Linked DNA regions of Drosophila melanogaster. The protein of the gene in region 1 interacts with the protein of each later gene in a pairwise test. Each region holds a gene or a part of one and is shown on either strand. Other genes may lie near its edges.

Evidence for each region.
Region 2: the proteins of Nha1 (region 1) and Ctu2 interact in a two-hybrid assay, tested with the Drosophila melanogaster proteins (one large-scale study listed by BioGRID).

What each region holds. Positions count from the first base shown.
Region 1 is NT_033779.5:6,867,192-6,872,294, reverse strand, and holds the start of Nha1 (Na[+]/H[+] hydrogen antiporter 1), read left to right. Parts: upstream 1-1,905; 5' UTR 1,906-2,161; intron 2,162-5,103.
Region 2 is NT_033779.5:19,490,946-19,494,908, forward strand, and holds Ctu2 (cytosolic thiouridylase subunit 2), read right to left. Parts: upstream 2,309-3,963; 5' UTR 2,222-2,308; intron 2,019-2,221; exon of another isoform or gene 1,964-2,018; 5' UTR 1,949-1,963; coding exon 731-1,948; 3' UTR 702-730; downstream 1-701. Other genes in the region: CG18094 (uncharacterized protein), read left to right, coding at 1-684; swm (second mitotic wave missing), read left to right, coding at 2,954-3,012, 3,088-3,553, 3,612-3,963. UniProt on the Drosophila melanogaster protein: Plays a central role in 2-thiolation of mcm(5)S(2)U at tRNA wobble positions of tRNA(Lys), tRNA(Glu) and tRNA(Gln). May act by forming a heterodimer with NCS6/CTU1 that ligates sulfur from thiocarboxylated URM1 onto the uridine of tRNAs at wobble position.

The DNA.
Region 1 (5,103 bases):
CCGGGCTTCCATCCAACCAACCAGTCAGCCAGCCAGCCAGCCAGCCAGCAGCCAGCCATCCAATCGAGCTGGCTCCTTTTGGGTGGCTTCGTCGCATTTGATGCTTGACATTGTTGGCAGTCGATATTGGTTGTAATTAGCTTTAATTGAAATTGCTACACTCCCGTCCAGCCAACACGGGTATGTATGTATGTATGTATGTATGCGCTGGTGTGTGGCACCGTGATTTGGGTTTTAATGGGGGAAATGGGAAAATGTTTGTAATTTTGGCAAAGTTAATTTATGGAGACCCCGCACGAATCCCTGACCCAGCCGCATTTTCATCAGCCACCTCGATGTCATGACGCATTTTACATTGGCCGTTTGCCACTCAAATAATTAGAGAAGTTTCATCCGAAAAGTTCATACATTTCTGCAATTTTGCGGATTGTTTGAATTGAATTCGATTCGGCCATTTGCCGTTTTGGCTGCAAATTGGTATGAGTTGCGAAAACAATATGCACATAGATAGAAAGTAGGTAAATATATTGCCGGAAATTAGATAAACAAATTTACAATAAATATTAAATGGCAGCAGTGAAATCAATTTTAATGCTATGCCGGCATACCTTTATGCGGGCAATGTCAGAAATATCAAATTAATCTCTGGCTAAAAATAACAATAATCATTTTAACCAAATTATCAATTGTAAGCACTATTTGCACTATTTGATTTCATTATAACATTGTTTTCCCCAAATACCGCATATCATGTACTTATATTGCACTAATCAAAGTTAGTTTACCCAGGTGAATCGCAGTGGAAATCTTTGAGGAGTTTATGGACACATAAGCACGGTTTATGGCGCAGATATCAAAAGGAATACTATTCATTGTCTGCGAGAGAACACGTTTATCAGTTTTGTGTGTATCGCGATTTGTCAGTTGAAATTCGGTAAGGTAAATAAACGAAAATCATACATTTGGGTTTTATGCAAATGGTAAATAAACAAAGTGACATCTTTATCGGTGTTTGTTTACGCCAAATGATTAATCTAATATAATATTTGGGCAAGTATTTAGATATTTAGAAGCTATTTGTATTATTGATACGCATGACGAGCACTGTAAAGTCAAGTCAATTAGACCGCCAATTAACTAATTGACTTTTCCACCGCCATGCATTCAATGTGACTCAATTACCAAATCCCCTCTAAAGTTCATCAAACGATGGGCAAACGAAACGTCGCGACCATATCAATACGAATTGATTAACGTGGCCATAAAGCCATCAAGCGCTTTCGATTTCCGATTGATTGAGCTTCTCAAGACTGCCTAATTAAAGAAAAACCAATCGTTATCTCGGGTCATCAATCATATTTTTTATTGCATACTTTTTCGTGTCACATATAGGGCCATATAAACAATGTATTTTCACACCGCCAAGAGTACCAGTTATGACATTGCATTTGCCAATGGTAAATTCTCAACTGAATTTATGGCCTGGGAAGCGTTGAGGAAATTATTTTGTTGACCATTTTATGGGTCGCACAACTCGAGAGGGCCTTAAGTTCGTGATATACTCGCGGCAGTGCAGTAGCCACATGAAGCTATATAGTTGGCTTACACCATTGGCTGCTTGATCGCCTTGATTTACGCCTCTTCTACCAGAAGAGCGGGCTTTGGGCCACCTTTATTTTCAGGTGGGTGGATCATACAAGAAGATAAGACTTACAGCCACATAACTTCGGGCAATTCTTCGCAAATCGGAGAGTGAGTAGGTGAGCAAGTGAGTGAGTGAGTGCGTGAATGAATGGGTGAGCAAGAGAGCGGTTTCAATTCGATTCGCTTCAATTCTTCCGATCGCGTTTACAGACGTGAGTGTGTGTGTGTGCCTATAAAACGCTGGCAGGAATTTGCAGCGACTTAGTCGTGCTTTTGGCCAGGTTGCGGTTCGACTTCGCCACAGTTTTCCGCCTCCGTGGTCCGCGTTTTGTGAATATGAAAGTAAAAGTCAACGCAGAACGACTAACTGAGTTCTAATTAGTCGAGTGCTGGCGCCATTCCGAGAAAAGTGAAGAAGATTAAAACACGAAGACAACGAAAAGTGACAAAGTGCTTTCAGATTTGAAACATCAACGAAAGTTGCCTAATTTCCTCCTGGCCGCCGTGTGAATACAAAGTAGGTTTTGCCACTCATTCCCATCTTCGAGTTCAGTGGCTGTAATAAAGTAAATACTTAAGATATTTCACATTTCTGGCTGTACGTGTTTTTTTTTTTGTTATGGCGACTCCAATCGAAATGCCAAAGCAGCCAAAACAGTGCAAATGCAAATTACATTCGTTTATGATTAAAACACCCGCTTGCGACTTTGAGCTGTTATTAATTTTGCTCATATATTTCACTTTATTTACGTTTTGCTGACCATTTGCATATTGACCGAAATTAATGAAATGTGAATGATTTCTTAATGAACTCGAAATGAATGCATAAGAATATTTTATTGCATGAGGAAAATCAATTTGCAGTGCTACCAATTGTATCATCATTTAAATGCTATTAAGCGAACATCTCAAGCGGGTTAACCCTTTAATGTAAGCTGTGAACGAGTTTCAGAACGCATTAATTCCGTATCAGTATCAATAAAATCAATCACATTGCCAAGGAAATGCGCAGTGCGTATAACGGTTGTGCATTGTATTATATATTATATACATTGTATCACAATCAAAGAGAAGGTTTCTGCATCTACGTTTCGAATAATTAGATCTACATATAATGAGTGTTTCAACTTTGATTCTGTCATGTCATACACAGATATATAGCACGTATATTGCTCTACTTTAGATACTTCAGTTACTTAAAGATACAAATTTAGTTTCCGTCTTTTGAAGTTGCATTGATACGAAGTAATATAACTTATATATTAATATGAATTAATACTCAACTTTAATTCTTTTCTGTGCACTGCAATAGAATAAACAATGATCCAGATCAAAACGTGCCGAAAAACACCTTAATGATAGCAGTAAATATTACCAAAATGTGTAACCTCTATCCGAAACAGTATCTCGAGTATACCCATCATTTAAGTACATTATTTGTGCGGTTTAGATAAGCAGAGGAAGTCTCACCATGATAAAGGAAATACATGCATAATTAAACGAGAAGAGTGATACACGGGCCAAATCTTATCGAATGCCTCGAAAATTGGGCCAATAAACACTTACCACAATTAGCAGTTGTCAATGGAACTAATGACAAAGGCCAAAGCCAGACGAAACGAGTGTAGAACAGCGTGAAGTGGATCCGACTGTGGATTACAGATATTGATAATGTTTTAATAAACAATTCGCGCAATTGAGGCAGATAAACCCCCAGTGGAAAGCACCTGAGACACACTGAAATCCAAAGAGGGCTCGATGGCTCGAAGGAAGGGGGCTCGGGGGAAATTGAAAGCGAAATCGAAATCGAATCTGTAGCCGATTATATAGAAACAACATTCATGGCTGATTGAGATTCGATTCGAGTGGAGTGGGTCTGTTAATGAAACACTCGTAAGTGGAGTAATCACACACATATTTCGCGATCCGATAGCAATCGTGAAACCAATTTTAAGGAGGGGGACCCGATCCCGTCTGCGTATTTAGCATTCGGTATGAAATCAATCACAATCCACACTTGGCCACACGGTAGTTGGGGTAGTAGGGCAATATCAAGCCAATTAAGTAGTCCGGCGCACCGATAAGGGTTTACCGCTACCCCACCGTCCCCCTTATCAAACCACAACTAGCATGGGCCCCTTCGATTTTTACGAGCCGCCAACTTGAGTGTTCGGTGGATTTTTATTTAGCCTTTCGTTCGATTTGATCTTTATGGCTAAATCTTTTTCGCCATAGCGCCCTTTGCTATCGCCGTCGATTGTCAGATAAGCCGCGAATATATTATATTATATGAATGTTCTACATGCTGCGATCAATCATCATCGCAAAAGTCTTTTATATTTGCAATAAATTAATGCAAATATACAGCCGTAGATAACTTTGTGAAAGCTCCAACGAAATCCGTCGACCATAAAAGATTCCACCGATGCCATCTAGCACTTGATAACTTCAATCGAGCGCTATTTAAAGAATTTTCCTTAACTTCTTCGAGCAATGGCATCGAATGTCTTTGCAAAACCCATTTAATTGATCAATTGAACGATTGGACTGGAGCTAAGTGAGAGTTGGAGGACGTCTCCTTTGACGTCAATCTGAAGTTAAGCGCACAGGAACCGATTCATGGTAATAAACTCTGTTTTATTGGCGCCCAATAAAGAATCATTGTGATCATTGGTTTTATCAGAAGACAACCTTTAATAGATATTTTTCGAAATATTCCATTTCATTTCTGGCGATTGCTTAAGTACGAGGAGTAATTTAACTGTGAAAGTGTGTCTAAAACCATATAAGCTGTTAGCAACTATATATACACAAAAAAATTAAATAGCTGTTAGCAACTATAGATACACAAAAAAATTAAATAACTTTGCACCTTGAAAAACATGATTCCATGTTTCCCAGCTAAAGTCAATTAACAGTCCTACAACCGGCTAATCGCAGCCGGAAAAAGCCCAGTGGAGATTAGCCAAGTGTCCAATATCATCATATCTCCCTCGCCATTGGTCACATGTGACTCCGATTGATAAGAATCCGTGGAAATGGCCGACTGTGTATTCTCTCCATTTGAATTCGATTCAAGTGAATTGTTCTCAAATTTTACACGCTCCACACACTCAAGTGCTTTGGGGATTAATTGTGTAAGAATGCGCGTACCTTATTATCACTGCTGATTATCTATTGCTGGGCAGTTCCGTAGACAATGCTCAACTCTGTCAATCGATTAGATTAACACAATGGCTATGGGATAACAGTCGTGCCATTTACAAGAGAAAAAAAAATGAAGAAAAACCAAAGACGAAGCACTGAAATGCGTTTGTCGTCTGACCAGATTTGAAAGTGAATCACGTCACAGGTAGCTGCTACTAATACGGATACTACTTCTCCATCCAAGCCCATCCACCCAACCATTGGTTGCCTGTCCAATTTCGAAATCGTAAAATGTAAATGTTTTTGCGACCC
Region 2 (3,963 bases), about 13 Mb from region 1:
TCGGGTCATCCTAGAACCGTGCTTCTCGAGTCAAGCGAACACTTCGAATGGCAACATCGGGTTCACAATGATGCCTCACAGTTTCTGGAACTCTTTCGGCATTATAAAGTCATTCCCAATATCTGGTCTCTTCAGGAATGGTCCATTTGGAGGACAGCAGCCACTGCCAATCGGAAATATGACACTGTTTATTATATCACCATGTTAGATAAGTACACCAGGAATATAAAGCTGCTTCTGGAACCGCACGAGGTGGCTTCGGCCCACTGGTTGAGTCCGATCGAGGCTTGGTCGAGCTCACAGAAAGCCATTATTTGGCTCCCGTTCATGCTGCTCTATGACATCGCTCGTCTGATGAACTTCTATAGCTTTCAGGAGCTTCTCAACTTCTCCCGCCAAAGGAGCTGCAATGGAAGCACAATGGTGCAGCCCGTCTACTATCGCTGCGATGACTGCATGTTTGGAGTTCTTCCTGGTGATGAGCTCTATCCCAAAGAACCAGGCGCTTGTACACAAACAATTATCTTGTCGGGATCGGTGGACGACCTTCATCGAAAGTCCAAGCAATACAATCGCTATATCGTCTACGACTTCCACAAGGTCGTACTGGCCTCCAATATACCGCCCTGCGATGGGCATCTGCCACTGCAGCCTCTTGTCAATAACAAGCTAGCCAAGTTGTAGTAAAAGAATATAGTTTTAATAGAAAATATATATATTTCCTCTTGCGCTACAACAAGTTACCACTATCCAACTCGGTCTGTATGGCGCGGCATGCGTGGCACAAACCGTCCTTGTTCTCCAATCGCTTCTTGGCCAAGCCCTCGAGATCTTGTCCGCTTTTGTACAGGCTCACGCCGGCCTCTGAAACAGATCTGGAGTACTCAATAGCCAGCAGAGTGTCGGATAGTTCGGAGTCCAGTGTAGATCGACAGTGAACACAAGAGGACTGCTCTGGATTGGAATTGACAGCTATTTTGTCGCCAGTTCGGAACACTGTGGATACTGTGGAGGCGAAGTTTTGCTGCAGATTGGCCACAAAGGCTGATGTAAGGTTCTGTAAGCTGGCAGTCTCACCATGCTCCATCCCATAACGTGAGCCTTTTTGAAAATGTGGCTTTAGACGCTGTGCATGTATGTAAAATTGAATCTCCTGCTCAGTTAGGTCCTTGAGAGGTCGCAGCAGCTTAACATCTCCAGACAGCCGATCGTCGAGGAGAGCCACATCCAAGGCGGCACTACCGCCACGACCTAGCGCTATTGCAGTCAGCAGCTGGGTGGCTAAGTCAACACTTATATTAGATTCAAAGACGTGAGTACATTGCAGACACTGAGCCACGGAGCAGATGAGGTTCTTGCGCTGTTGCTGGAGGTAATCCTGGCGAGCTGTCAGACTTCGCAGTTTTTGAAGCTTGTGGATAAGCTCATTGTTTGCGTTGAGGAAAGGACTATAATCCTTGATCCGCTGCAAGGAGCTGGGCAAGGCGCCCAGTTCAATCACATAGAAATCGAAGGGTGCGTATTGTGTTGATAATCTCTGCAGAGCTTCCAAGTCCACAGGATCGCGACCTTGCACTTGCTGCTCCTCCACGTAGACCACACGTGCGTTGCAATGGAGTCTTTTAAACGTGTTCTGTGTTTGCGCGAAGTGCAACATGTCGAGCAGAACGAGCGACTCTGCGGACCCGTCCAGGACAAGAAGCACCTCGGCGTTTCTGGGCAGAATCTTGGCGGCTCCCAGAGCTGCCCGAAACTTGTGCCTCGCATACGCTAGAAAGCATTCCCGGCACTCCGCAGTTCGGAAGTTGAGTTTGTAGAGCTCGCCGGAGTTTACATCGCATTTGCTGCAATTCCCTGGACTGAGGACGATTCCTAATGGTAGGGATTCCACTACCATGGCGTGGGCGGCACCCTCGTCTCCAAAATCATCTTCACCAATGCTGCACATGGCAATAATTTACGTCTAATCCACAACAAAAAGAATTTCGCAGATAAACGAAATGACCAGGGATGAATACGTTGTGAAATGAATGGATACAAAATAGCGGAATTCTAGACAAATGTCTTCTATCTATAATCTATCTATATAGATTATCTATATTTAGTGTCAAAATTAGACGGCAAGCTAGCGCTTTCTTATAATATAATATCGAATATAATATATCCAATATAATTTAAAAAAGCGTAAACCTTTAACTTATATTTTAAACTCATATATTACCTTTAGCTACGGTATAGTCTATAGCTGTCAACACTGTTTCGAGGGCATTCCGTTATCGAAGGCTATCGATATACCTGGCAATATATCGACTACGCAGCCTAGACTCGTCAAAAGCAACCTTGCAACAGGAAAAGTGCAGTGAAAAATATAAAAATAGCTGTTCAAACCACAATTTGTTGTACAAATCTTAATAATAAGTTAAATTTAAGCATTGAGGTATGTGTCTTTGGAGTTTGTGTTGAAAAATGGGCTCGAAAAACCCAAGAAATTTGGGCGCAAAAAACTGGGTGCTGCTAATACGTATGTATGTGAGTTCTGCGTGCCTGTGTGTTTGTGCGCGCTGTGTGTGTGCGTCGTGCTTGTACGCAAGCAAAAAGTATCGGGTAGCAAAATCGAGAAACTTTCTTATTGACGATAGCAGATGGGAAGAAGAAGCAATTAAAAGAAGGAAGGAAAAAGTACGACAAAAAGTAAAATAAACGCCGAAATCCAATTTCAGAGATTAAAAGCAGAAGCAACGGCGGTAACAGGAAGTAAGAAGTTCACCCAAATCGCAGGAGCACAGTCGCCAGAGCGACAGAGGTCATCTTAAAAATAATTTTTCGGGCGTGTTTGCCCCCCGAGCACGATTAACCCCCCACCCAGATTAGCGCAGACCAACGCAAGAAGCCCCCAACCAAAAAACAAAAACAACAGCAGCAGCAGCAAGCAGTAGAAACAACCCGCCTTAGCATGATTCTGGAGAATTCGGACAAGCTCAAGGATTGGCTGAGCGTGGTCCTGGAGCCACTGTAAGTTCTTGAAAGCCGCTATTTCATCGCTATCCCTGGAACTAACCCCGTCACATACCACCCTCCCACTTACAGCTGCGATGCGGACTCCTCGGCCTTGGCGCGATATGTCATCGCGCTGCTCAAGAAGGACAAATCGGATAAAGACCTTAAGCGGATCATGATCGAACAGCTCGATGTTTTCCTGTCCGAGGAGACGACACGTTTCGTTGAACGCCTCTTCGATGCCATTGCCAGCGAGGAATACCTGACGGTCCCTGCTGCCCCTCTAATAACAGCCTCTAGTGCATCCACCGCTGAGCTAACAGTCGACCAGGAACTGGCCCTGGTCATTGATGGGCCCCAGGACGACATCGAAGCGGTTTTGGTTGCCGATTCCCCTCCACCGCCTCCTAAAGATAATGTGATAAAACCCGATAGCAATCAGGTCAAGTTAGAGCAGGCCAGTCAAGATGCCAGGGAAGCTGAGGCCCTAGCTTTTATCAGCCAGGAAGCCGGCATTGCCATGCACGTCCCTACAGATGCCAAGCCAGCCTTTGATGTGAGTTTTAGTGGTAGCTTCGCCTTAGCTGTTTTGTTTATATTTCTAATTTATCCAGCAGCATAAAACCAAAGACTCCCACAATCAACAGTCAGCCTCCAACTACCAACACCATCATGTGCGCAGTGCCAGCCCACCGGGCAGAAGCAGCGGCGTCAGCGGAAGTGGAGGAGGTGGTCCCGGCGGAGCAGGTCTTGCGGCGGGTTATGCTGACAAGGAAAACCAGCCGCGCGACAGTCGACGACGACGTGCTTCCCTGCGATCCCGTTCCCGCTCTCGATCGCGTTCTAACGAGCGCGCTTTTCGGCGGTCCAGGTCACGCGACCGACGGGTGAACGAACGCGAGAAAACTCAACGACAATTCCGTAACAAATCTCCACCAGGCTCGCAGACCGACAATCGCCATCATG